Linked DNA regions of Nothobranchius furzeri. The protein of the gene in region 1 purifies or fractionates together with the protein of each later gene. This does not show direct contact. Links are inferred from orthologs where the notes say so. Each region holds a gene or a part of one and is shown on either strand. Other genes may lie near its edges. The genes, in order: dis3l, gigyf2, eif4e2, exosc8, exosc6, exosc1 and hbs1l.

Region 1 (4,061 bases):
TTGTAGACCCCAACAACATTTCATAGGCTGTACAAAGGCTCAAAAAACAGTTTCTAGTTGTAAAAAAAATGTTTTGGGTCTTTTTAAAATTGTATATAAATGTAATATCCTCTGGTGGCAAGAATAAGCTCACGGAGAGTGGGTTGTTCTTTGGGAATATTTATTACTCCAACACAGGTACAGCCATGCTTCCCGGCAACGAACTTCCGCTTGTCTAATGTTAAAGTACACCCCACTTTGCATCCAGAACACTAGGTCCACCTAGAGGCTTCCTGTAAAATGTTTAACCTCTCACAATACTACAATAAATTCATCACATGAATCATAAAAGATTTGCTGTTTGCCACAGAGGGGGGAAAAAAAGTGCTGATGACAGAATTTCCTGTTTAGTATTCTAACCAGAAAAGGTGTTCAATACTAGGCTAGTAAAACTAGACCAGATTCCTCCCTTTTAAGTTTAAATACAAATAATATACTTATTTAGTCTGGCTTGCCAGGCTAGTTCAACACAGATACCTTTAAGCAAACATTTAACTGTTTTGTGAACAATTTTTTAATGTGAAACTTTTCCAGATAAAAGTGTTTTTAATCAACCCCTAGAACATATTTTGTAAACGTCGTCTTTTTGTTTATTTCAGAAAATTCTGGTAAATTCAAAAACCTTTTGAAAAACACCTGAAGAATTTCTGTTTGCGGGACAGAAGAGAATCCATGAGTTTTCTTTTGTCCGACAGTACATGAACGCAAAAGGACAGCACCAACCGTGGCTCCGACTCTCTCAACACGGAAACAGGTGTTGTGCCGAAAGGAGCATGCCTGCCGAAATGCGTATCCCCATGAAATAAGCATAGAGGTAAACTAGAATACTTTATGAGCGACGAGGCTAACACGCTTCTGTTACGTGTTTTTCGTGAAAGCGTTTTGTTTTTGTTTACAAATATGATGAAATAGTTATAAAAAAATTACGTTTTTGAACGTTTGAGAATAATGTTTTAGTGAGCATTTTTTATGTATTTTTGTGCTTTCTCCCAACTATTTTGTTGTTGGTTCTTAAAAAACACACGTGACACAAAATTACTCATTTTAAAATATTTATTACTACTTTATTACTATTTCTTCAAATAAAAATGTTTTAAACATAAATTTCTTTAATTTATCTGCCTACAAACGATCTTTTTGTAAGGAATCACGCAGATAAACATAATAATATTACATTAATAGTACTTTTTAAGCGCCTTTCCACAACGGGGATGCACATTTCGCCAGGCATGCTCTTTTCGGCACAACACTTGGAGCTTCCCTCTCACAAGTCCGCCAAAACATAGTCTTCACTTTAAAGTTCCGGTTTGTAAACTTTGGGTCAGCGGCTGCTGATCCATTTCGGTTCAGAGTTCGGGATGATTAAAACCGAGAAGATTCTGCACCTGAAGAGTTACCGAGGCCGGAGGGTTCGGGTGGTTCGGGAGCACTATCTGAGGGAGCGGGTTCCCTGCTTCAGCTCTCTGTGTCAGGCGGCCTGTGCTAACGGTAAGTCCGCCAAAACACACAACTAGTTGCTAAAAACACACAAACAGCCGTTTAAAACACAACTAGTCGTTACAAACACAACCAGTCTATAAAACACACTACTAGTCGCAAAAAACAAACAAAAATAACTAAATAAACCGGCCGATAAAACACATCTAGTCGCTAAAAACACAGCCAGCCACTAAGAGCTAACGAGTGTTTTATTTCCAGTCCTTCATTTATTAAACCTTTATTTATTTTTATTTAACCAGATGAGTCGATTGAGAGCTCATTCTCGTTTACAGAGATGATCTGGCCAAGATGCAGCAGCAACAGACACATAGTTAGCTTTACACTAAAGAAAAACAGATAAGATAAAAACATACAAGATAAAACAGTTAGACATAAAGACAAAGGACTGTTCTATTATATAATATGTACCAGCGATCCAAACAGACTTAAAACTGTCTTTAATGTGCCAGTGTGTATTTTTCCTGGTTGATGGGGAGCAGTAGACACCTAAAACATTGCAAGCAAGCAGCATTTTTGTGTTGGAGTAAGACCTTACCAACGGATGCCTATTAGGGTCAAAAAGCCCTGAGGAGTGCAAACTTCAGGAAAATGACAAGCACATCAGACCTCCTTTCATCAGTGGCAACAAGTGAAGAGATAAATGTGTAAAACAATGTTTATTAATAGTGAAAGTTTTATAATCGTTTGTTACTAATCAGTAAATGCATGGACGTAATTGGGGGGGGGGGGGGGGGCATGTCCCTCCCCACTTTTTCCAACGTCAAGTTTTGACCCCTGCACATTTTACCATCCAAAAACAATATTACGCTATACTAAATTGACACTGGTTGAGCTCTAGGACCAAGCAGAAACCAACCGTTTGTGTTGAGACCTGTTTCCCATTAGAGCATACTGTAAAGATTTTTTTTGATTCATTTAAACAAAATTTTGCTTTAAACTTCATTTTCTCCAACAGATTTAACAAGCAGATTGGTTAAACTTGATTTGATGACTCGGACTGGAGCTGTTGGGCTGCGCAGTGGTGCAGTGGTTAGAGCTGTTGCCTTGCAGCAAGAAGGTCCTGGGTTCGCTTCCCGGCCTGGGATCCTTCTGCATGGAGTTTGCATGGTCTCATTTTGCATGCGTGGGTTCTCTCTGGGTACTCCGGCTTCCTCCCACAGTACAAAAACATGACTATTAGGTTGATTGGTCTGTCTAAATTGTCCTTATGTGTGTGTGTGTGTGTGCATGATTGTTTGTCCTGTGTGTCTCTGTGTTGCCCTGCGATGGACTGGCTCTCTGTCCAGGGTGTACCTTGCCTAATTGCCCGTTGACTGCTGGAGATGGGCACCAGCCCCCCCGCGACCCTACATGGACAAAGCGGGTTCAGAAGATGGATGGATGGATGGATTGGAGCTGTTGGTAGACTCACATTCTTGTCCAACCGAACGTTAGAGGACCGATATAATTTAATATTTGTATTTTCTCTGATGGATTTATTATCACAGGTAGATCAGTGTAACAGAACATCTGATTTCTGTATAAAACAGTGAATATGTTGTGTGTAGCCATGGTAACGACCTGATGACCCCTCAACAGATGGCAAGGTGTTGCCCGGAGACTTGACCCACTATGTGGTGCCGGGGGTGGAGGTGGTGGTCAACTTCCTGGAGATCCTGGAATTCAGGGAGCTGCAGGGAGTCATCTTCACCCAGACGGCCTGCCAGGCTCTGCAGAGTAAAGGGCGCAGGTACAACACACACAAACACACACACACATAGAGGGTGAAGTGGGTTGTCTGAAGAACTCCAGTCTACCGTCTTTTTTTATTCCAAAGTGATGGAGAACATCTCATAAGTTTTCCTGACAAACCATTAGCAGCTGGTTCTGGTGTGTGTGTGTGTGTGTGTGTGAGAGAGAGAGAGAGAGAGAGAGAGAGAGAGAGAGAGAGAGAGAGAGAGAGAGAGAGAGAGAGAGAGAGAGAGAGAGAGAGAGAGAGAGAGAGAGAGAGAGAGAGAGAGAGAGAGAGAGAGAGAGAGAGAGAGAGAGAGAGAGAGAGAGAGAGAGAGAGAGAGAGAGAGAGAGAGAGAGAGAGAGAGAGAGAGAGAGAGAGAGAGAGAGAGAGAGAGAGAGAGAGAGAGAGAGAGAGAGAGAGAGAGAGAGAGAGAGAGAGAGAGAGAGAGAGAGAGAGAGAGAGAGAGAGAGAGATCGGCTGGCGGGATGATGTAGAGTGATATCTGCTGTAGGAAAATGCAATCAGCAAGGGCACAAAAACAAAACACGCTCAAAGATAGCGACAGAGCTCGAGACTAGGTCATATACCCAAACGAGTTAATCATCCGACGTCGTGTAGGTCTCAGACTGCCCCTCATATAGCCAGCCGGTGATTGCAGCTGAGTGGCTGCAGCTGGGCAGTTCTCCGGCACCGCCCACCTGCAGGAGAAGGGTTAGTGTGGGGAACAATATACCTCAGGCCATGACAGCTTGACCTTCTCTGGAACCGAAGCCTTTAGGAAAAGCAGCGGTTGCCGTCCGACCAGACC
Region 2 (3,500 bases), on another chromosome or scaffold:
ACGTAGAGCACAAACAATTTTTGTCAACATTTTTCCAAACCATATCAGCACCAGAGGAAGGCGTGTGCCATAAGAGACGACTATTGTTTTTAACAGCTTAAAATTCCATTTCATTTATAAACAGACTGTGTGCATTTTTTTTATGCACCTTTCATATATTTTGCACCGTTTTATATGCATGGTGGCTCGGTGGGTCCCCTCAGTTGCATTGCACCTTCACGAACTTCGTGAATCATCCTTCGTCGAAGGATGATTCAGCTCTTTTTTTATTCAAAATAAATAAGGATTAGGCTGGTACAGTATCAGGATTCAGCTTTTATCCAAACTTTTGAATTTTATCATTTGATGTATTTCATCTTTTGATTTCAGGGCGGGGAAGAGGAGACGGAGGGTTTTACCAAAGAAGTTTTGATGACGTTGAAGGTTTTGGTCGCGGAGGAAGGGAAATGCACCGTTCTCAAAGCTGGGAGGAACGGTATTGGAATGAAAAAATGTGATAAATCCAGATCTTTTCCTGATATTGCACATATCTCTTCTATATATTTTTAGTCAAGACTAAACGTTTCTTTTTTTTCCCCATTTATTAGGGGGGACCGACGATTTGAAAAGCCAGGTCGAAAGGACCCAGGTTGGTGTCACATTTTGTTGTGAAAACAGAAAAAAAAATCAATACTCAAACATTTTTTTGGGCAAGTTGGCCAGCTCACCTGTTTGCTCTTCTCTGTCGTTGTAGCTGATGTTGCTCCGGGGCATTTTCAGATCAATCACAGTGAGTTAAAAAGCATTCCTCTGAAAGTTCTGGGTTCTTAGCCAAATCATGCCATCATTTACATCATATAGATGTTAAAATGTTAATTCCCTGGGGTTTCTCATCCTAACGGCACCCCCCACTCCATCACCTGGTGTTCTAATGTGGTGTTTTTACAGTTCGAGGCCCATATGAGGACGGAGGGACAGGACTCCCAAGGAAGCACGACTTTACGCGTTCAGAGAGTGAAAACTGGCGTACTACTCGAGACGATCAGAACGGTGAGGGTGATGAGGGGGGCTGGCGCCTGCTGGGTTCTCAATGGGAGAACGACCGGTGGTGCCCCCCGAGCCCAGGTGGGCGCTAAAAATGAAAGACAAAAGCATTACCCATACATTCATCTTGTCGAAATAATAAGTTTTGATAAGTGAAAGGGTGTGTTATCTCTTGTCTTTGTCGTGCTTCCCGTTTGGCCTAAAGGTGCTTTTTTGTTCAGCCCAAAGACTAAATGTTAGATAGACCAGTCCTCCGCCGTCACTCGTAGCTTTATGAAGAGCTGAATTAAAGCCCAGTGGGCAGTTCCCACAACCGCCATCTTGGCTGCATCACGTGTCTCATCGCTCCAGGGTAATATAATAATGGAGCTAGGGTCGAGGCTGTGGGGGTGGGGGCAGGTGGTTGACACCCAACAAACTCTGAGCTGATGAAGCTAAGAGCTAACTGAGCTAACGGAATCTAATGGAGGCTTTTGCCTTAGATTTATGTGCCTGGATTACAGCAGCTTTTCCTGGAACAGAACGCACTGCAACAAGATTTACATTCATGCAAAATGCAGAACAAACATTCAGATGATTGTGTTTACATGTGTGTTATTTCTCCCGTTGTCTGGAGTGAACATGTGGGATTTTGTTTTAGTTTTCCTTTTATGTGGCATTTTTCCCCAGATGGGCCTCGGTCAGCAGGCTGGCGGGAACTTCCGGAGCAGCGTCGACATTTTCCGTTTGATGCAAGAGAAGACGAGCGCGGCTACAGAAGGCAGAGGTCTGGCAGCGGCAGCTTGGATGACGAGAGGGACAGCTTACCCGAGTGGTGTCTAGAGGATGCAGATGAAGAGGCAGGCACATTTGACTCTTCTGGAGCCTTTCTCTCTCATAAGGTAATCAGATACTTTCCTCAAATGATTATTTAAAGATTACTGAGAAGTTTATGACAATAGTCCCCCCCCCCCCCCCACATTGTCATTTTGTAATCAGAAAGCCTCAAAGGAACCGATTCCAGAAGAAGCAGAGCTCGACTTCAGACCCTTGGAGGAGTGTGACGAAGGCCTGGAGGAGCTGGATACCCCGACCAGGGAAACCAAAGAATCAGAAAAAGAAGCCAAAAGGGAAGCAGACAGAAAAGGTCAGTAGTGTTGATAATCTGACTTTTGATTCTCTTATTGATAAATATGTTGGTATTAGATCATTTAAAGGTCAAATTCAAACTAAACCCAGTTTTCAAAATAATTCCAAGGAAGTAAAAAGATACAATAGACAAGTTTAATAGTAAAACATGTTCCTGATCATTCACACTTTATTTTAACAGGAATTGTTGCAGAATAAATGTATAATCTATATGAAAAATCATCTAAGCTAGTCTGATTCACCGCTGCGTCTCCTGAGTAATTTGAGTCACTTTTTGACCTTCATGGTGTTTCTGTTTAAGTTGGGAAACAAGTTTTTTACCCTGGTTGTTGCATCACATAAAGAAGGTGACACATTTTCTGTGTTTTTACCTCAAAAGCTGCTTGGATGTTAACATTTAAAACGGCCTATTTGAAACGATGAGATTACCTGCTGACGACAAATTTTAATCCCATCATAATCTCTGCGCTCAGGCGTTGTTTGATAGTTTGTGCTTGCAAATAAAAATTGCCGGTAGCTCAGAGAGCCAAAGGGGCAAGAGAGGAATGAGGGAGTGTCAGTAAAGGCCAAGTGAACACAAACAATAAGCTGTTATGAAGGCAACATAGTAGAGTTTAGTCATCTTTTTTGTTGGTTGGAAAGTCGCTATAAATACTTTTTTCTCTGTTGGGTAGAATCAATTTTTTCATTTAGGTTTATGTTAATAGCTAAAAAGGAAATAATTGTTTTTAAAACAGCCTTGATGTGTTTTGAAACCCTGGTAATAAACATAAACAATGTGTTTTTGTGTAAAAGTGGTGAAATGAGAGATGATCCAATCACGTGAAAATAGCCTGGAAAAGTTCTCGGTGCAGATGTACGACACAATGTCTGTTAACATTCACGGACTCATCCATTTGGCCTGTATTTGACGTAGCTCCTTCTAGAGCCCCCCAAGGCGCTTTACAACACAATCAGTGATTCACACACACATTCATACCCATTTGGCTCGTGACGGGAAGGCTGTTGATGTTGCGTCCAGGAAACGGCAGAGAACATCTCGACTAGCAGAAGCTAACTGTTAGCATTAGCAACTCCACCACACGACAGAACTCCTTGTGTTATTTGTGGAGATAAAATATCGGTGTTGCAGAGCAAACTGAGTCAGTGGTGGAGTCGTGTTGCTGTTATCCAATCAGAGGCGAGATGTCCGAATATCAGGAAATAAGACTTTGTTTGAAGCTTCTTTCTCCTCCGGCTGACTCCTCCGTCCCCAAACAGGAGTATCTGAGAATCCTTCTGTCTTCTTACTTTAATGCTTTGCTGAAAAGTGTTGGATCAGGTCTCTGTTATCAGCAGATACTTAAAGT
Region 3 (4,078 bases), on another chromosome or scaffold:
CACAGAAACACAGGGAGCAAGGGGTGAGGGTATGGTCTGCAACTGCGGAGCCAACCAAACCACGCCATGCCATACCATCCTAGAGCATCCTGTTCACCACCACACCATCCCCCCACCCACACATACATAATGCGTCTTATGAAGTTTGCAGTGTTGTTTCTAGACACAAGCCGGTATTTTGGTTATTTACCCACAAATCGGCTCGCATCTATAACAAAAACTGATCCAACTTGCATCAATAGAAGTCCACTTTGTTCCCATCTCACCCTCCACCTCCTCTGTGGTCCCCCAGACTTTGTCCAGAGCTCTGCTTGGACCTGAACAGAGCCACGGTTTGAAGTCGCCGCAAGAACAGAGGGCAAGCGAAGGGATGAAACAAGTACTGCGGCACATCAGAGGATGTGAGTTCAAACAAAGAGGCCGTCGGTTCTCTGTGTTGCGGCTGCACATGTGCTGTTGTGTGTATGTGGGTGTCTGCTCGTAGCCGTCCATATCCGTGAGCTGAAGTCACCAGGTTCCTAGTCACTCAAGCCGGGAGGAGCAGATTTTGACAAAGCTGTAAAAAAGTGATCCGAGTGGTACTTTTTCTTATTTATTATGCTTGAAAATATCAACATGTGGTGAATAAAATGTTCAAACGTAACTTGGATTTGATGTTGTGTTTCTGCACCAGGGTCACAGCTGTGCAAACGTTTTCAGCTACAACTGTCTTACACTTCAGAGGAGCCAGGTGTTTTGTAAAGTTATACATCTGATTAGTTATTTTTAAACTTTGGCTGAATTTTCACTCACTTTTAGTTTACTCTGCATATTGTGCTTCTTCCTGAAAAACAGGAAAATGGTAATGAAAAAGACTAATGATCACATTTAAGAAGTTACTTAAATAGAACATGTAATATATTTTTTCAAGGATGTAAAAGTTGCAAAGCTCTGTTACAGAAGGACATGAGAGATGGATCATCTATGACAATTTTACATAATCTGTCAATTCTGTTCATGCTAAAAGTCATTTTATGTGTGAACTGTTTTGGGGAGATATTTTTATAGTTTTACCTAAATAAATAGGATTACACGAACGTCATATGACTTGTTGCAATTGAGACTCATTTACTGGTTCATCCCTTGAGTTTGGAAATATTTAATTACTGAATAGTTCAGTGATGAGTGCCAAGGTCCAAGAACACACTTTAGGAAAACCGACTAATCTCATTCAAGCCACTTAAAATATAACTTTTGGACAACACTACATTTGACAGCAGCGCGTGCCACCTGCTGACTTCTTTTCCGATTCCGACTCATCACTGCGTGCGCGTTCATGTGTGTAAGATGTGCGTCGCCGTTCCTGCGGAACTCAGGAGGCAGAATTTGGACTCCGACAGACTCCTGACTAAAAAATAATGAACAACAAATTTGACGCGTGAGTTAAGGCTTTATATTTGATTATGTGGCATCGCACGACCTTCCCGTTGTTTTAAACAACTCAGAGAAAGCTAGAACGTTAATGAAAGCTGAATTGTGCGTTAAATGAGAGGTGTGTCAGGTTTATAGCATGGTAGTTCGATATGCCGTTGGCTGAGGTGGACAACTTACGTTCACTTTAGCGAGTGGATTTTTCATAAAATATAGTGATATTTTAAATAAGTAAAGGTTTTGATACAAATAATTGTCTTGTGAGTGTGTGTGCTTTTAGCTTAGCATGTCTGAAAGCGGGTAGGCCGCTAATCCCCGGTGTGTGAGTAGTTGGGACGCCGGAGGAGGTGCACACAGAATCGACTAGAACCAGATTCCCACGGCCTTCATCACGAGCACAGACGGGAGCAAATTCTGACTTTTTACTGCTAAAAGTGATGATACCGGTGCTGTTTTTGTGTGATTCTTAATTGGGGTTAATTTAAAATAAATAAATAAAATTTCAAGATTTAAGACGTAAAGTTTTTTAAATAGCGTTGTTTTGACGTGGGTCTTTGAGGCCAGCTGGTTAGTTTTGATCCTTTTTTTTTTTTTTTACATATTTAGATATTATCATTTATCATGATAATCTAGAGTTAACTGCACTTGGCTTTACATTAAAGTGTCTTCTGACAGACGTATGAATATCTGATGGTTTGTGTCTAATCCAGGCTGAAAGACGATGACAGTGGAGATCATGAGCAGGATCAGGGATCACCGAAAGACAGCGAAAAGGAAAAGATCGAAGACGATGACAAGGAGCAAATTATTATCAAGAAAAAAGTATGGCTGATTACAGAGCATTGTTTCTACTGTAGATAAATATGCTCCTGTATTTACATTTGTCCATGTCCTTTACAGATGGTGGTTCCAGGGGCAGGAGAGCACCCTCTTCAGTACAACTACACCTTCTGGTACTCCAGGCGGACCCCAGGCAGACCAGCTAGCACCCAGAGCTATGAGCAGAACATCAAACAGATTGGCAGCTTTGCCTCGGTAAAGGACTTTTGTTTATACTTCAGCTTCAGCTGTTTCATGTTCACATATTTAATTTTGTGGCTTATTCTTGTCAAGGTGGAGCAGTTCTGGCGTTTCTACAGTCACATGATCAGGCCTGGTGATCTGACAGGTCATAGTGACTTCCACCTCTTCAAAGAAGGCATTAAACCCATGTGGGAAGTAGGTGTCTGTCGCAGTAATTGTATACTTTAGTAGAACGTTTTTTGTTTTCTGTGTACTAAGGCGTATTTGAAACCCCTTGCATGTTTAGGATGATGCCAATAAAATGGGTGGAAAGTGGATCATTCGTTTAAGGAAAGGCCTCGCGTCCCGATGTTGGGAGAACCTGATTCTGGCCATGCTGGGGGAGCAGTTCATGGTAGGGGAGGAGATCTGTGGGGCGGTGGTGTCGGTACGATTCCAGGTAAATCAAATAACACAATGTTGTATGTAACTGCTGGATCCCATTGCACTGAAACGTCTTTTTATGTACTTCATTTTATTCAGGAGGACATCATTTCTATCTGGAACAAAACAGCTAGTGACCAAGCGACCACAGCCCGCATCAGAGACACCCTACGTAGAGTCCTCAACCTGCCTCCCAACACCATCATGGAGTACAAGACTCACACAGACAGCATTAAGTATGTAGGTGTAGCAATTAAAACATTCTAATTACGACCAATAAGATGTGATGATTCCATATAAAAATGAAATATCAATCTGATTGATCTTTGAATATTTAATCAGAAGATTCTAGGGTCCTTTGCCTCTTTAGGGACCATGATCACACTTCGTATCAATTCAGACAGAGTCGGGTATATAGTTTATAAAATTAATTTAATTATTTTTCCTAAACTAACAATTTATACATGACAAGATATGAATAATGAGATGTGTTGTGATGGAAGCTAGATGTTGTAGCAACCATTCTTTGTATCTGAGAGAAATTGCAAAATCTGGATGTAAAATAATTAGTTGTTTGGTTATAACTAGAGTTCAATTCAATTCAAAAATACTTTATTATTCCCAGAGGGAAATTGATTTCTGTAGTAGCTCAGAATAATAATAATAATCAAGTCATCAAAGAGTATATCACAATGGCTGTTGGCAGGAAGGATCTCCAGTAGCGGTCAGTATTGCAGCGAAGCTGAAGAAGCCTCTGACTGAAGACACCCTTCCGTTGTCTGACAGTCTTGTGAAGAGAATGCTCAGGGTTGTCCATAATTTTCTTGATTCTCTGGAGAATCCTTCTTTGCATTATCTCCTCCAGCGGTTCCACAGTCATCGCCAGAACAGAACCAGCCTTTTTTATTAGGCTGTTGAGCCTTTTCAGGTCCCTGCTTCTGATGCTACTACCCCAACAGATGATGGCTGAAGAGATTACACTCTCAACAACAGACTTGTAGAAGATCTGTAGCATCTTGCTACAGACATTGAAGCATCCTCAAGAAGTGCAGTCTGCTGTGTCCCTTCTTGTAAACAGCTTGGTTGTTCTTTCTCCAGTCCAGTCTGTTGTCCAGGTGAACTCCAAGGTATTTGTGTTCCTCAACTACCTCCACTTCTTCTCCCATGATGGAAACAGTGTTTGACTCCACCCTGTTTCTTCTGAAGTCTAAAATCATCTCCT
Region 4 (4,041 bases), on another chromosome or scaffold:
TTTATGATTTGGTTCTCAGATGTTTTCTGAAAACCAAACCTTTGTCCACTGTGGGGGAACTGGTTTCTACAGCAGGAAGCCCGAAGCTCTAAGAGCCTTGGTGATATTTTTTTTCAGATGATCAAGAAGAAGACGGGTCTTGTAGGTAACGAGCTTCCACGGTTACATATTTCTACTTTCGGAAGACTTTTCTCTGCCGAGGCCCTGTGGAGTGAGAGGACATTTTAAAGAGAATTTCGCATGAGGCTGCCCTTTAAGCACAGATTAGCAACACCAAGCCGTCCACGTGTCCACGACGTGAAAATGCAAATCTGATCTTGGGGAGTATTCCGGCGCAGGGCTCACGCGAGGACTCAGAGTCATCATGCAAGACGGCGTGCGTTTGTACAGCAGATTTTCAAAAGGTGTTACCTTTTAACAAGGAGCCATGAGCATATTCTTACATGAATTAAGACATCAGCTAAGTGTGCGTGAGACATTTCTGGACACTGAAAAGATAATTTTTTTAAGTCTTTGTCAGCAGTTTTATTGTTATTAAAAAAGAATATATATTGACAGTGGAAAATACAACTTTTAGATAAAAAATGTTGTCTGAGTGTATTTATTGAGCTGTCTTCATGCTTTTTATGACTTTCTCAATAAGTTTGTGGATCTCTCCCTTTCGTGCCGTTGCTCTTTTGATGCACTCCTGCAGCTTCTCTCCCGACAGTGGCGTTCCACCTGGAGGCAAAGTTTGCAGAGCCTTTTATCCCCGTTTTCTCAAAATACTCAAAATAATCTGAAGCTTTATTTCATGGCAGAAGCACCACAAATCTAAAGATCACAGATGTGCCATCTCTGACCTGGTTTATGTAAGGAGCACAGCTGATCTTCCTCATCCATCACCACAGTGAGGCGTGCCGTCGACAGGCTCTCCTCCTCGGCGGTGGGGTCTACGATCAGTATGGAGCTGCACAGGAAAACCAAAAAGGCTTAAAGAAGAACAAAATGGCACTTGTACCTAAAATAAAAATTGAATTGAAATCAAACAAACGTACTCATCAAAGATGCAAAAGGAGACGCTGACTGGATGTCGGTGAATGTTAAGTTTGTGTTTCTTTTCAAAATTCACCTCCGGGGCGGACGTCTCTTTGTTGATGGTGACTTCTGGGAGTTGTGCTGCAGGGAAAGATTACTAAAAGATAGATTTATTTTATTTATTACATGCACCGTTTCAGTAAAGTCTCAACCCTACTTACTGGTTTTCAGGGCAGCCAGAAGGGCGACAACACAAGCATCTAGGATGTTCCCGTCATAGTCGAGACACATGATGTCACAGTAGAGGACCCAGCAGAGCTGCAACAAGATTTAGCAGAATTATGATTGAATATATTACAACAAATAAAGTCCACACATGAGTCTAAAATCACCTTTCCTCGGCCAATGCACAAGTCTTCTTTCTTGATCACCTCAGAGCTGCACGACACATGAAGGTTAAGTCAAAGCAGTGGCAGAAACACTACAGCTGGAAACTAAAGGTGTTTGAAGGCTTAACACACCTCTCAATGATATCAGCGATGAACTGGCTGGCAGCCTGGGCCTGTTCCCCTGGTGGGCCTGGTCGGAAGCGGGACGAACACAGGGGTGGCAGGTCTACATTGGGCACTTTTTTAAAACATATATAGACAGATGATGATGTCATAATAAAATACAGAATCAAACAGAAAATACGAGATAAAGAATTAAGCAATGAAAACCTGATGGAAACAAGGAGGCTGTAAAATGTGTTCAGAACTTACCTATGTAACCTTTACCAGGTGCATCCACAGTAGGGTTAGTCAGCTCCTGCATATGAACACATGACTTTAACACCTAAAGAAATCTTAGCAGTAGCGGTTTGAGTCATTGTGCACCAGTACCGCTTTGATGCCACAGATGATCGTGGTGTTTCCCAGCTTTACCAGAGCGGAGCCGTCTGCAGTGGAAATAGACCCTGAACAGAAAATAAGTAAAAACTGTTACAGCTGGCAGTGATCAGCCCTTTAGGCACTGGAAAATGTTGGAGTTGAAAAAATATGAGCCGACTCATTTTGTATTAGAAGTACATATTATTTTATTTACATCATATCTAAAATTATGTTTTATTACAGGGAGGAAACATTTAATTTATTTTCTTACCAATGTTTAAGGTTGTACTTCTAAATTCAGACAACTCCCGCCCATCAGGTCTACAATTTTCTTTCTGCAAATGAAGCATTTGCAATTACAATGACACTAATAACAATAATAATAACATTTATGGGTTTCTACTGGGTATAGTTTGTATGTATTTGACGAACCAAAAAGCTCCTGTGATACTCCAGAGGCTCCGCCGTCCTGAAAGTTTAAAGAAATTAAATAAGACAAATTAGTAACAAACACGTGCGATCCTGCAATAAACAGCAGACCGATAAATCTAACAAATAAAGTGTACTATCCCGTCACTAGCCCAACTGACGTCACAGAAATGTTGTTTCTGTATTTTTTGACAAGCAAACTAAATTTAGATATAACACTGAACATTAAATATATCGATGATATATATTTGATGAAAATCAAAGTCTGAATATAAAGAAAAATACATGTTAAAAATGACTTACTTGAAACCAGCCGCCATGATGTTTTGATTACCCACGTGAACTACGGTGGCCGCGACGAAACTGTGATTACCAACGACAAGTGTGCATTACCGCCACCAACTGGACTGGAGTTCGGAAATGAACGAAAAACTGGCCAACAAATTCGTCTTTTTCAAAAATGAGTTGGTGTTGTAAGGTCAATAAAACTTTCAAATTGATAACCGGTCACAATTAATAAAGATTAAATAAAACTCGATATATTAATTTGCTAAACAAACAATATTGTAGTGTTTAAACAATTGACAGTGAATAAATATTCCTTACAAACTCCTCTTTCCTAACCGAACAATCCAGAGCAAAATTGTGGATTCTCTTATGTCTTCAAACTGAACTTTTTAGTTAGAATGGTTTGGATCATTCTTTTAAAATACAAAATTAAACTGTTAAACAAGTCATGTGTTTTGATGTTGGTGTGTGTGTGTGTGTGTGTGCGTGCGTGCGTGCGTGCGTGTGTGTGTGTGTGTGTGTGTGTGTGTGTGTGTGTGTGTGTGTGTGTGTGTGTGTGTGTGTGTGTGTGTGTGTGTGTGTGTGTGAGCAGTGCATGCATGGCAACTCGGTTTTCTGATTATTTTCTGCTTTACTGTTTTCTTTACTCAACCTCAAACGAGCAGTTAGATATCTGAAGATTGTCTTGGTCTGTTGATGTTTTGTTGCATTAACCCTCTGATGCATGAATTATGAAATCTTCAACCATGATTTTTTAAACTATTTTTTTCATTCATCTTTAGGTGTGAATGAAACAAATTTCAACAAATATTTTTTGTACCATTTTGTTAATTTACAAATACTTTATTACATGTCCATCTCAGTGGACAATGTGCATTCTGAACATGAAATATGGTGGCTTGACTTACTGAAGTCCAAATGGAAGGGCTCATATGCAATAAAGTCTTCAACAGCTGTGCTTAATAGCAAAAATAAATAAATAACAATTTTGAGTAACTGTCCACTGTAGTGACCGTTATGCACCAAAGGGTTAAGCAGCAAAATAAGCTCAGTTTTTGTGCTGGAGCAGGGAAACAAGTAAAACATGATGGATATGGAATATCGAGGCCCAGGGTTAGAGAGGTGGTGTAAAAAATAGGCGTCATTGCTTTTTAACTTCACTAGCTGGTGGGCCGGTCTCGGCTCAAAACGAACTGGCTGATTTTTTGTCCCAGTCCAGCCCTGTTGGGGACCCATGGTCGGAAATAGATGGGTGTGACTTAGCTTCCCATTGAGCGTGAGACACGTGTCTGACCCCTTTCACACACCTCCTCGTGCATGGAAACCATCACAAGTTGGCAGCCCTGTAGAAAATAACTTAGTTCTCTTGCATTACTCACCTTCTGTTATTCTATCAAAGCTGTTATAACAAATCTGTTAGTAAGCTGGGTTTTGAGAA
Region 5 (3,422 bases), on another chromosome or scaffold:
TTGCGCTGCGCAAGTATGTGCGCAAGGCACATCTATGATTCAATTTGCCTTTAATTTAGACATTCGCACTAATTTATTACATAGCGTTTTTTAAATGCAACGTAGTAAAATAATGAGTTAACGCTGCTGTGTATGAACGACTTTCTACAGGTAAAAATGTCTTTGGCCGCCTCACTAAAACTTAATACGTGTCAGAATTGTGTAAGTTTGAAAATAAAGTTATTTAAAACCAATGAGAAGGACATTTTGGATTTGTTAGTTATAGCCATATGTATGTATATAAATACATATATGTTTATATATACATAGTATGGTTGTTGCGGTACATCCAGCAAATTCAACATTACAAAGCAGTGAATTGTCTTGCAGGTTTTTAATCTTTGGTTGCTGGGTAACTGTCGCCCTCTTCTGGCTAACACCTGTCATTACCACAAATGAAGTGTTAGCAAAGAAATAATTAAACCTACACCATTTTTTACTTTTACATATATTTGAATTTATTAAATGAAGTAATAATTATACAACGATACCGTGTCTTCTGATGAAAAGATCTTAAATAAAAAATATAAATATCAATATTTAGTCATAGAAAATATGTCTCAAGTGTGACTGAATTATTTTTATGTTTATGTATTTAGCAGACGCTTTTGTCCAAAGCGACTTACAGGTGAAAATCAAGCCAGCAGGTTACCCTTGAGGCTAACAGTAAACACTATGCAGCCAATCCTGTTGTTAGACGGTATGTAAATCTCTTATGTATTTACTATTAAGAACTTTGTCCAACATTGTCCTTTTTAATAACATGAATCCAAAGTGAATAGAGTCATTTATTAATCAGAATTTTATTTTGAAATTTTAATACATTTCTGGGCTTTAATAAACTGCAAGGTAACTATAACATTATTGACTGGTATAGTGTGTGACTTAAATACTTTTAAAATACAACAACAGTTTGTTGCATCGCTTTAAACTACATAAGAAAAAAAAAGCTGATGAAACATTGCGGAACACAGTAGGAACTAAAATTTGAGGGAACTTTTCCGGAACACAGTAGGAACTAAAATTTGAGGGAACTTTTCCGGAACACAGTAGGAACTAAAATTTGAGGGAACTTTTCCACTCCCGTTGTAGTTCTTTGGGGACACATTTATGAGCGATCCACTTCCGCATGCACCATGCCGACAGATACGAAGCGGGTTCGTGGTCCGGACGTTTCTCAGAGCCCCGTGCTGCTCGGGTACAAACCCGCTGCGGTTCTAGCCTCGCGTGGGCCCCGAGAAGACGGTCGGCAGCGGGACCAAGTTGACGTCCGGCCGGTCTTCGTCCGCTGCGGCCTGGTGAGTCAAGCTAAAGGTTCCGCTTACATCGAAGCTGGAAACACGAAGCTGATCAGCTGCGTTTACGGACCCCGAGAAACCGATCGGAAAGACGAGACCGATATGAAAAGTGGGAGGTACGCTGCTTTATCACAATCACGTTTTCTGCTCGACAGGTTCAGCCTGATTGTTCATGTGTTCGAAAGTGAAGTTCGAGTGTTTTTTGTGATCATCAAACCTTCCCATTGGTAGAAAGAGCAAATGTTCTGGCGGCTAGAGGGAGATTTGAATCCTTAACTTACCCTAGGCCAGGTGATGTAGGTGAACTCCTTCCCAGTGACACTCTTAACTCAGCCTAGGAGAGCCAAAGGTGTTCCCAGACCAGGCAATTTACAATCAAACATGTCAGATTAGTTAGTTATTTGAATTATTTAGGTCAACTGGATATAAACAAGATAATTCAGTCTTTTAGTAGCAGGCTTCCGAGAATATGGACTTTTCCGCCCTCTGGCGGACAAAAGCAGTTACAGCTTCCACGAGACTAACCCCTCAAAATAAAACAAACCACTTTTAAGTTTTTTAATTGGTGCCAACAGCACAATTAGTGTAGATAACGAGAAAGTCAGAGCGTGTGCACATATACAAACTACGTAACTCTTAAAACTTAATACATCTATGAGTTAAACAGGATTAAATCAACAAGCTAAAGCAGGGAGCATCAGCAGCTAGCTACAGCACTTAACTCATCAGATATCGCGCCCTCCGGTGGCAGCAAGGCGAAATGATTGTAGACTTGAAGAGATTTATCTAACTTTTTTTTAAATCAAATTTTAACCCAATAAAGCAAATTAGCTCAACCAACAGGAATTTGTTTTTATCAGTTTTCCAAGCGACTCGATCATTTTCCTTTACTTAACCTGAAAACAGAAGATTATTTTCATCGGATTGTAATGTTTGGGATGGTTTTGTTTGGGAAAATGATCCTATGTGCGTTTCTGCTTCCAGGCTGACCACTGATGTGCGTTTCGCCCCTTTTTCCTGCCCAGAGAGGGTCCCGTGGATCCAGGGCAGCCAGGACAAGGACCTGTCTCTGATGCTGCACGAGAGCCTGCAGCCGGCCGTGTGCCTCCAGAGATACCCGCGCTCTCAGATCGACGTCAGCGTGATGGTTCTGGAGAACAGCGGCTCAGCCCTGGCCCACGCCGTCACCTGTGCCTCCCTCGCGCTCGCGGATGCGGGGATTGAGATGTACGACTTGGTGCTCGGATGTTCCCTCCAGCAGGTTGGGAGCTCCTACGTGGTCGACCCGTCCTACCTGGAGGAGAACGGCTGGAGGTGTAACAGCAGCGAGAGCCGGGGCGGGCTCACAGTGGCCTTCCTGCCCAGTCTGAACCAGATTTCTGGGCTGCAGTCCGACGGTGAGATGTCTGAGGAGACCCTGACTGCGGGGGTTCGGACCTGCATCGAAGGATGCTACAAACTTTACCCGGTTATCCAAAAGGTCTTGACCAAAGCGGTCCGCCGGGCGGCGCCCCCGTCTACCTGAGAGACGCTCCAACAGCTCAGCGTTTGACGAGTTTAATATGTAATAAAATAGCTAACTTTGTGTTGGTCTTTAATCTGGTTGACACACAAAAAAATTCTGATTCATGAAAAGGTAAAAAAAATAATTAGTTTGAAATTCCCTCTTCCTGTCGAGAGCCTCTCACCACCAGAGGGCGCTGTGCACCTGAACACCACCACCAGAGGGCGCTGTGCACCAACAATCTGTTCTACTTCAAATGTCCTCCAATTATTTCTTCTAATACAAGCCAGTTAGAAACTAAACCTAAACGAAGTCTTAAAGTTAAACTAACATATCCGGTGTTTATTTACCTTTTCCACCGGAATATTTCTAGTTTTTGCTTCTGTGATCCTTTTCTGGAACCCTTTAGTCTTTAATCAACCTAAAAAACCAGCTTGACTACAGATCTGTGGGACGTTCTGGACAAACGTGTCCCACTCACCTGGAACAGGAGCTCAAGAAGAGCTGGGTCAGAACCACAGAAAACACAAAAGGAGGTAAAGTTCTTTATTTTTCTGTTGGGAATTTGACAAGAGAATGAC
Region 6 (4,074 bases), on another chromosome or scaffold:
GCGAGCCCACTCACGCAGAATGGACTTCAGTAAAAAGGGGGCGGGGCTTGGGTTTAACGCCCCACCCAATAAAAAGTTCTTCATTGATGTCAATGCAAGTCGATCAATTCGCTTTGATGACTGATCAGGAAGGTGGATGTTTGGATAAACCTTTTTTTTTTATATCAGCGTTGTAAATGAGTTCAGTCTCGTTAGTTTCACTTTAGAGGTGATCGAATGTTGGCTGAGTTGTACAAAATGTAGATGAAACCATCAGTGTCAAAACCGGATTATGTAAAACAATTCAAAGCAACGCCTCTGTTAGTGTGAATATTTTAGTTTTAATGGCTTTGATACATTTTGATGTTTTGAAAAATAAATCTACAAAACCAAAGTTTGCCATTTAATTCTAAATGTGACACATGAATTATGATGTTCAGTAAGTTACAAAATGTTTAATTTGAAGGATTGTAGAAAACAATTGAATAGTTAGGTGCACAAAGCAGGAACTGCAGACAAAGTAGAATCAGTCATTTTAATTTATTGTACTTTTGAAAGTTAAACAGCAAAGTACATTTTCGTAAAAGGCAAGGCTTATGTACGGTTGACTCAGTTATATACAGGAAGGTAACTTAACGTTTCATTATTTTCTACGCTGTAGCTGCATCAAACATTTGGTTTAGCGCTGGGCTTTCCAACAGTGAACAAATGTCTTCATCAGCTTTAAGCCCAAGACAGCAAAACACCAGCACGATTTGTGACGAACCATAAAGCGTAGAGCTCTTCCAGCTACCGTTACTGGCCCTTTCCAAAAATAAAAATCATGTTTAACTTCTGTGTTCTTGGGTCTGCTGGTAAAAAACTAACTGCTATTGTTTACCAGTCAGAAAAGCACAATGAAAGGATGACAAAATGTGCAGCTGTTTGAAACACTTAAACCAGAAGTGGCCCGTGAATCACATGATGCACAGAAAAACAAAAGCTGGAGCAGGAGCTGCTTGAAGGAAGATGGAAGTTGCGTGTACCAAGTGAAGACTGTCCAGGCTGTCACGCTTCCAAATACTCAGGCTGGACTCGAGCCACTTTACGAAACTCTTTGGCGTGAGTCAACGGACACTGCATCTCGCACCAGCTGATGGGAATCATCTGGGCTCCTGGTTCAGGGGAAAATGTGGTAAAAATGTTAGAAACATGCAGAAAAATGGGAAGTTATTTACAAGAAAAGAAAGTAGGGAAAATACGACGGAAAACACCTGTTTTCATGTCAGCAATATTAAAAGGCTCTTACACTTTTTCCAAATGCAAATTTGGTAAATGGCCTGTATTTGATATAGTGCCTTCTAGAGTCCTGGAACCCCCCAATGCGCTTTACAACACAATCAGTCATTCACCCATTCACACGCTGGTGGGGATGCGCTACGATGTAGCCACAGCTGCCCTGGGGCGCACTGACAGAGGCGAGGCTGCCGAGCACTGGCGCCACCGGTCCCTCTGACCACCACCAGCAGGCAAGGGGGGTTAGGTGTCTTGCCCAAGGACACAACGACAGACTGAGTGGGGCTCGAACCTGCGATTACGGGGCGAGCACTTAACCCTTTTGCCACCATGGCCCAATTTAGACCTGTTGAGAATTTTTGAGGCTTTCCAGCTATGTGTTCAAGCTGAAACCATTTCACACATGAAACCAGTACTTTACTTTTAGAAATCTATTTTATTTATTTAAAGGCAGCTTGAATGAATGAATGTTAATGCTACAAGTTCTGCTGAAGCTTTTAATGGCCTACACATCAAAACATGTATGTGAACAAAAAACAATGAACAATTACTTTAAAAGAATTGTTAGAAAAAAATCTAAACATTCAAGAGTAATTTTTTTATTTTATTTTATTTTTTTTTCGAAAAAATTACCATAAGATCACATATGTACATTTAGAAGTGCAGTGAAGAACTTTGCTACAAACCTGCCATATTTAGTCCTATACATGTCTACTGCCCCCTGGTGGCGGCTCTACAGATGGTGAGGGCCAAATTTTTTTTCTTTATTATTGTTATATTTTATTTAACTCTATTATTATATAACATAGGACACAAGATAAAGAAATATCTTTGAATAAAATAGTTCTTAAAAATAGATAATTATTAGTTGATGATTTACAAAATGAATTCAACTACATTTTTAAGAAGCTTAAAGTATTTTTGGCCAATTTTAAGCACTTTTCAAACCTTGAAAATACGATAAGAAATGTTTTCAAGCGCAAATAATTAGCTACTAAATCAGATAGATAATATCTTTGCATTTGGTCGGAAATTGAGAGTAATAATATTTAGCTATGATGAAAATAACACTAGAGAATTAATCAGTAATGCTGTCATTATGGAAGTTAATAATGTTACTTAAGTTCTAATCAGAAATCTTTTCCTCCCACTTTGGACCCCCTGCTGTTCCTGCAGAACCTGAGTGAGCTGGTCAGATCTGAGCAGCTGTTTAGTTTGGAAAGATGAAGTGAAAGAGGTGAGGAACGTACCTGCCTCGCTGTGGGCCACCACCACACCCAGTTCATTCTCAGCTGTTGTTAACAAGTAGTTAGACTGAATGTCACCGAGAGAAATCTGACATCAAAGGTCAAGATTAGTAATCAGTAACGTTCAGACTGAAGCACCGGAGTCAGTAGTAACATGTGAACATTGTTTGCTGTCATTTCTAAGATTCATTCATTCATTTTGTCCCATTCAGCTCAGCAAATTTTACAGGTCCCAATGAAACTGGGTTATGAGCTGAAAATAGCTTTTAAATTTGTTTGGTTTTCTTTCTTGGAGAGCTTGTTGAAGGATACCACTTTAGCCAAAACAATGTCGCCCGTTCTGAAGCTTTTGTATATCTCCACCTGTAAACAAAACAGAACCATCAGTAAGGAAACAGAAGGAGCAAAAATAAGTAAACAATCCAAGTAAAAGTACGAATTCTAGCTCACTTTATCCTTCTCTGTTGCTCGCACGTCTTCTTTCCTGTAGATACGGAGAGAGTGAGCTAAGAGTTTAGGAAAGTTAATCAAACTGGATTTACGTAGTGAGGTTACCTGATGGTCCCTCTGAAGCGGTCCTTCAGCGGTGTGGAACCCACATACAGGATGTGGACTTTGGCAAACCTGGGGTTGGTGCTGGTCACCTTTAAAAGACAAGTTAGTAAAAGGCAAACCTGAACACAAAGTACTGACATCTGTGAATGCACTGGCTGTCCCCGTCTTGAGTTTTAGTGCACGTTTCAGATATGATCATCTGAGTTTAACTGGTGTAAAAAATGATAAAGAGCTTAACTTAAATGTTTCTTTTGGTCATTTGTATGATGTTTATTATGTTGCACTTTGTTTGTTTTTAAGGTGATTTATGAATACATTTTATTTGAAAAGGCACTTTTTTTTCTTGATTTGTGTAAAAAAAAACACCCCCTAAATACATATAATACAAAAATAACTGTCCTTAAAGGGACTTTACAGAGGTTTGATGCTTTTTTTATGCTCGCGATCGCCCCCCTCAGGCCAAAAGCGTAACGGCAGCTTCAATAGTAGGCTCGTGCACGAGGCGTGCATGCTGTACGTGCACACTCCTTAACGAAAATAACAGCTGAGGCAGTCCCTTGTGTGTGTGTGTGTGTGTGTGTGTGGCCCGGAGGACAGAGGATAGGAGAACACGCAGCTAATTAATTAAATAATGTGGTTCTGTACCTTTCTCTTCAGCACAGCCGACAAAGGTTTATGATGGGTCAGTCCTCCTGCATGCTCAGATCATTCCCTTCCCTTGCTTGAAAAATTGTTCCAAAATGAAAGTTGAACCCACATCTTTTTTATCTGTGAATTCAATGCCGTTCGGCGAGTCTCAAATAAAAATTTGGGTATCTTACTGTAAAAAATATACCATTAATGTAAAAAAGAAACTAATTAAACTATGTTTACATCCAGAATCGAACCCGGGTCTTCTGCACGAGAGTCCAACATCTTAATAGGTGAGCTAAAGCGCCAGTGATGTCCTTTGTATCTGTAACGTTTATATCCTTGATGACAGCTGAAACAACGTTCAAAGAACGGTTCGGAGCGAAAA
Region 7 (3,500 bases), on another chromosome or scaffold:
GTATATTTGACTTGTTCTTTGTGTAGTTGTAACAGTCTGGGTCTACCTGTCCCTCTCCTCGCCAGTTTCATCCAGAACCCATGCGTAGGCAAAGGAGGCTTTTCCTGCCTTTTTTGACTCCTGCTCGTACTTGTGCATGGTGCGCTTGTTGACGTTGCCCAGCAGATAAAGTAGGTGGCCCATTAATGTGCTCTTACCAGCATCCACATGACCTGAAGAGGATGGAAAAAATGAGTTATGAAGGTATCAAAGAGAGGATGTTTGAGGACCTGATGATGGGGAAAGCGAAGATAAAAGAAAGAGGAAGAATTAGCGAAAGATGATAAGGCTGGTGAAAGGAGGAGGCAAGATAAAACAAGGAGAAGGGAAACCGGGGAGGAGGAAATAAGAATTGCACAAGTGAAGAGAGGCAGACACATATGGGGGGGGGTAGGGGGGGTTGACCAGAGCAACACGAAAGGTTTCATTCTCTGTGGGAAGCTAGAATCATCTGCAATTCTGAAACTACACCGTCACATTTTCTGGTCTGAGAATGAGAAAATACGGCTGAGTAACTGTGCCAGTGTGAGGTTAACTCGTTTGACATTAGAACACCAAACATGGAGAACCTCAGAGTGCAACTAATCATTTTCCAGCACCGGCTCAGTGCAACAAACATGCTCAGTATCAAAAAATGATTCCCTGCAGATTTGCTGCCTTTCTAAGCTTCAGGCTTTGTTTTTATTTGAATTTATTGCATCTTACGGTCTTTGCATCCTACCTATAACTACTAGGTTTAAAAGTGGTTTTCCCTGTTGTCTCTTCTCCAGCTCTGCCTTGATGTTGATCGTCTGACGGGACTTCCCAGTAGAGCGTCCCGGTGTGGCACCAGAAGGGGTCTCGTCCCCATTGGACCCTTTAGACGGAGTCTCGGGTCGTTTCAAGGTGGCTTCAGGAACAGCTGCATTCTCCGGGCTGCCACCTCGCCGCACCGACGTAACCACAAGCCCGTTCTCCCCTGTGCTGAAGACAAATGTAAGGTGCTAAATACAGAACTAATCCCCACTTGAATCTTGCAGAGAGTGGTTCTTAGATACCTCGGAACATCGAATCCCATGGTCTGCTTCTTCCCAGAAACGGTCATGCGGGCCACTTTGGGTACCACTTCAGATTCCAGTTTGTTGTGCAACAAATCTCTGCTTTTGGCTGAAGGGATCAAAGAGCAGATGAAAGCATCCATGATCGGCTGACACGTTCAACACAGGGAGCAAATTCCACATCATAAATCAAATTCAATGTGTGATTTTAAAAAGTAAAATATTCAGGACTGGGATTATTGTTCTAAGATTATCTTGATGCCATTGTTCATTTGTGTTTTCTTTGTGTAGGTCACAGAAATAGGCCTTTTCCAACAGCACTACTCAGCATGACTCGGGAGGGTGTGGTTCAGTTTGGCCGCCTTTTCCAACACCTTTCCCCCTACGCTTCAGTCCCTGCTTCGTCGTGGTTCCGATGGCTGAGTAGCAGCGGCAGCAGAGACTCACATGGCAGCACAAAAGGATGTAAAACAAGTTTTGTAATATGTCGCCCTTAAATATAATTTTTCCGTTTTAGAACAAGCCAACCTTGCATTTTCTTACTTAGTTTAATCTTGCAGTGCTGAGAGACACAACAGATAAAAACCAGTCAAAGCTGTACTTTGGCTTGCAAAGTGTGTTTCTTTGATTGGAGTGAGAGTCCCTGGTGCAACCGGCTGTAGCACAAGCCTCCCCTATCTGACTGGAAGCTCATATTCTTTAGCACTGAAACTTCTTGAGGTAAACGCTGTGTCATTCCAGACGCGAATGGTCCCCATTTCCAGTCATATCGACCCGTTTCTGATTCATTCAGCCTGGGCTGCACAGTCAAGCCTCCTGCACACCGAGTGCATGTGTGTGAGAGTCTGTTTGCATCTGACATCCTGGCTCACAAAGGGTTAATTTCAGAAGTGGCCGTTGCCTCCCGTCTCCACGTAAATAGCTCTGGGTGACGCAGCACTTTCACAGAATGAATCTTGGGTTAAGGTGTCAACTCAGCAGGCGCACAAGGCTGGACGTGAAAGAGTTTCATCAGAAATTCAGTAAGAGCAGGTTAAAACCTGACTGGTTTCAGGTTGAAAAACTGAAACTGATTCAACTTTTATTGCTTTTTTACTGGAACACTTTGGTTGCAAAGCTAAAAGTGAGACTAGTCACAAACTAATGCAACAAGAAATACTCTGAGGGTAAACAAGAGGGAAGAGGTATAATACAGCAGCACATTAATGGACTTTCTCTAACCAAGCACTCTCTAAATGACTTGTTCTGCACTGAAGAAAAAGTCCCTTTCATAATGAAACACTGATATACAGCTCACTGCACCCTGATGAGGCTTTTCTCCCCTTTTAAATTCAGGCCACCCCAGTTAGACGCTTATTCCCACATACTCTGATCTATGTATGCATGTGGGAGAAAGAATTGAGCACATTTGTCATTATTTTATTATAAAACCAACAAAAACCTTTCTTATTATCACAAAAAGTGCAAAGTATATTAAAAATCTACAAGATGCATGCAAAAATAATTGGTACATCTAATCTGCACAGAAAATGAGCAAATAAACAAAGCTTTTGATTATTAGATAATGAAAAATAAAGCTTTTATTGTCCCTGATTCAAATATTTCAGGTTCGACTGGACAAAATGAACCATCCATCTTTGTTTCTGTGAGGAAAAAAGGCCAAAAGATAATGACAGAAATGTAGAACCAGCTAATTTATTAATTATGTGACACATTTAGGTAAACCTCAATAAAACTTGTTACCTGATCCATCATAGATATCAAACTACACTCCCCTGACATCCTAACCAATGAAAACACAGTAATGCTTTTGCAAACAATGAAACTACAAACTCATTTTTCTTTTTTCTTTCAGCCAGCCTCGGGGCAGCATTAACTACAGGGTGGCGTGAAAACAGATCAAGACGATCATGCTTCGAGGCTCGGAGCAGGATCTCTTTAGTGTTTGGACAATGAGGCAGACGCTTGGCATGCTCCCATACAGGATTTCTCTGGAATACTGGGACCCTTGCTGTGAGTCATCAGCATGCTTTGGCCTCAGGATTGAACTTAGTACACATAAAAGAAGGAGTCCACCCAGGATATGCAAACATGCAGCATCCCTCTGCCTCTTCAGTTCAAATAAACACGCGAGTGCAGATGAAAGTAAAATGACAGAAGTACACGGACCAACTGGGGTGAAGGAAATACTCGAATTCTACAATCCCACAACAGCACAGCTGCTGTTGATTATTAATACTTACAAATATTTCCTTAAATTTAATTGGTAATTAAAATAATTAAAAATACAACAACAAAGAATTCGACTATTTTAAAGCTCCATACCACTAGAGACCGCCAAAGGCAACAAATATTCAATTTTTCTTGTCATGAGGGGAAAACGAGGGGGAAATTTTTGATCTAACCTAATCTGGTTTATTTCAA

The links.
Region 2: the proteins of dis3l (region 1) and gigyf2 purify together in Homo sapiens (affinity purification with mass spectrometry; 3 studies listed by BioGRID and IntAct, with this or other methods). This does not show direct contact. The link is inferred for Nothobranchius furzeri from reciprocal best matches to the Homo sapiens genes DIS3L and GIGYF2.
Region 3: the proteins of dis3l (region 1) and eif4e2 purify together in Homo sapiens (affinity purification with mass spectrometry; 3 studies listed by BioGRID and IntAct, with this or other methods). This does not show direct contact. The link is inferred for Nothobranchius furzeri from reciprocal best matches to the Homo sapiens genes DIS3L and EIF4E2.
Region 4: the proteins of dis3l (region 1) and exosc8 purify together in Homo sapiens (affinity purification with mass spectrometry; 4 studies listed by BioGRID and IntAct, counting the BioPlex papers as one, with this or other methods). This does not show direct contact. The link is inferred for Nothobranchius furzeri from reciprocal best matches to the Homo sapiens genes DIS3L and EXOSC8.
Region 5: the proteins of dis3l (region 1) and exosc6 purify together in Homo sapiens (affinity purification with mass spectrometry; 3 studies listed by BioGRID and IntAct, with this or other methods). This does not show direct contact. The link is inferred for Nothobranchius furzeri from reciprocal best matches to the Homo sapiens genes DIS3L and EXOSC6.
Region 6: the proteins of dis3l (region 1) and exosc1 purify together in Homo sapiens (affinity purification with mass spectrometry; 4 studies listed by BioGRID and IntAct, counting the BioPlex papers as one, with this or other methods). This does not show direct contact. The link is inferred for Nothobranchius furzeri from reciprocal best matches to the Homo sapiens genes DIS3L and EXOSC1.
Region 7: the proteins of dis3l (region 1) and hbs1l purify together in Homo sapiens (affinity purification with mass spectrometry; 5 studies listed by BioGRID and IntAct, with this or other methods). This does not show direct contact. The link is inferred for Nothobranchius furzeri from reciprocal best matches to the Homo sapiens genes DIS3L and HBS1L.

The regions. Positions count from the first base shown.
Region 1 is NC_091749.1:66,618,705-66,622,765, reverse strand, and holds the start of dis3l (DIS3-like exonuclease 1), read left to right. Parts: upstream 1-1,261; 5' UTR 1,262-1,397; coding exon 1,398-1,527; intron 1,528-3,117; coding exon 3,118-3,268; intron 3,269-4,061. UniProt on the Homo sapiens protein: Catalytic component of the RNA exosome complex which has 3'->5' exoribonuclease activity and participates in a multitude of cellular RNA processing and degradation events.
Region 2 is NC_091751.1:53,327,342-53,330,841, forward strand, and holds part of gigyf2 (GRB10-interacting GYF protein 2), read left to right. Parts: intron 1-369; coding exon 370-493; intron 494-587; coding exon 588-628; intron 629-733; coding exon 734-769; intron 770-927; coding exon 928-1,104; intron 1,105-1,692; coding exon 1,693-1,904; intron 1,905-2,001; coding exon 2,002-2,149; intron 2,150-3,500. UniProt on the Homo sapiens protein: Key component of the 4EHP-GYF2 complex, a multiprotein complex that acts as a repressor of translation initiation. In the 4EHP-GYF2 complex, acts as a factor that bridges EIF4E2 to ZFP36/TTP, linking translation repression with mRNA decay.
Region 3 is NC_091751.1:56,212,946-56,217,023, reverse strand, and holds the start of eif4e2 (eukaryotic translation initiation factor 4E type 2), read left to right. Parts: upstream 1-1,278; 5' UTR 1,279-1,397; coding exon 1,398-1,417; intron 1,418-2,120; coding exon 2,121-2,232; intron 2,233-2,310; coding exon 2,311-2,445; intron 2,446-2,523; coding exon 2,524-2,628; intron 2,629-2,719; coding exon 2,720-2,872; intron 2,873-2,955; coding exon 2,956-3,092; coding exon of another isoform or gene 3,093-3,096; intron 3,097-4,078. UniProt on the Homo sapiens protein: Recognizes and binds the 7-methylguanosine-containing mRNA cap during an early step in the initiation. Acts as a repressor of translation initiation.
Region 4 is NC_091750.1:62,637,214-62,641,254, reverse strand, and holds exosc8 (exosome complex component RRP43), read right to left. Parts: upstream 2,701-4,041; 5' UTR 2,636-2,700; coding exon 2,619-2,635; intron 2,356-2,618; coding exon 2,319-2,355; intron 2,222-2,318; coding exon 2,158-2,221; intron 1,973-2,157; coding exon 1,899-1,972; intron 1,825-1,898; coding exon 1,779-1,824; intron 1,645-1,778; coding exon 1,539-1,644; intron 1,456-1,538; coding exon 1,410-1,455; intron 1,336-1,409; coding exon 1,239-1,335; intron 1,159-1,238; coding exon 1,038-1,158; intron 950-1,037; coding exon 843-949; intron 721-842; coding exon 602-720; 3' UTR 501-601; downstream 1-500. UniProt on the Homo sapiens protein: Non-catalytic component of the RNA exosome complex which has 3'->5' exoribonuclease activity and participates in a multitude of cellular RNA processing and degradation events.
Region 5 is NC_091744.1:81,855,985-81,859,406, forward strand, and holds exosc6 (exosome complex component MTR3), read left to right. Parts: upstream 1-1,127; 5' UTR 1,128-1,175; coding exon 1,176-1,453; intron 1,454-2,321; coding exon 2,322-2,862; 3' UTR 2,863-2,922; downstream 2,923-3,422. UniProt on the Homo sapiens protein: Non-catalytic component of the RNA exosome complex which has 3'->5' exoribonuclease activity and participates in a multitude of cellular RNA processing and degradation events.
Region 6 is NC_091746.1:82,291,581-82,295,654, forward strand, and holds the end of exosc1 (exosome complex component CSL4), read right to left. Parts: intron 3,146-4,074; coding exon 3,057-3,145; intron 2,986-3,056; coding exon 2,952-2,985; intron 2,865-2,951; coding exon 2,814-2,864; intron 2,590-2,813; coding exon 2,505-2,589; intron 1,134-2,504; coding exon 1,027-1,133; 3' UTR 501-1,026; downstream 1-500. Other genes in the region: knop1 (lysine-rich nucleolar protein 1), read left to right, coding at 1-124. UniProt on the Homo sapiens protein: Non-catalytic component of the RNA exosome complex which has 3'->5' exoribonuclease activity and participates in a multitude of cellular RNA processing and degradation events.
Region 7 is NC_091742.1:466,625-470,124, reverse strand, and holds part of hbs1l (HBS1-like protein), read right to left. Parts: intron 1,186-3,500; coding exon 1,077-1,185; intron 1,003-1,076; coding exon 761-1,002; intron 213-760; coding exon 47-212; intron 1-46. UniProt on the Homo sapiens protein: GTPase component of the Pelota-HBS1L complex, a complex that recognizes stalled ribosomes and triggers the No-Go Decay (NGD) pathway.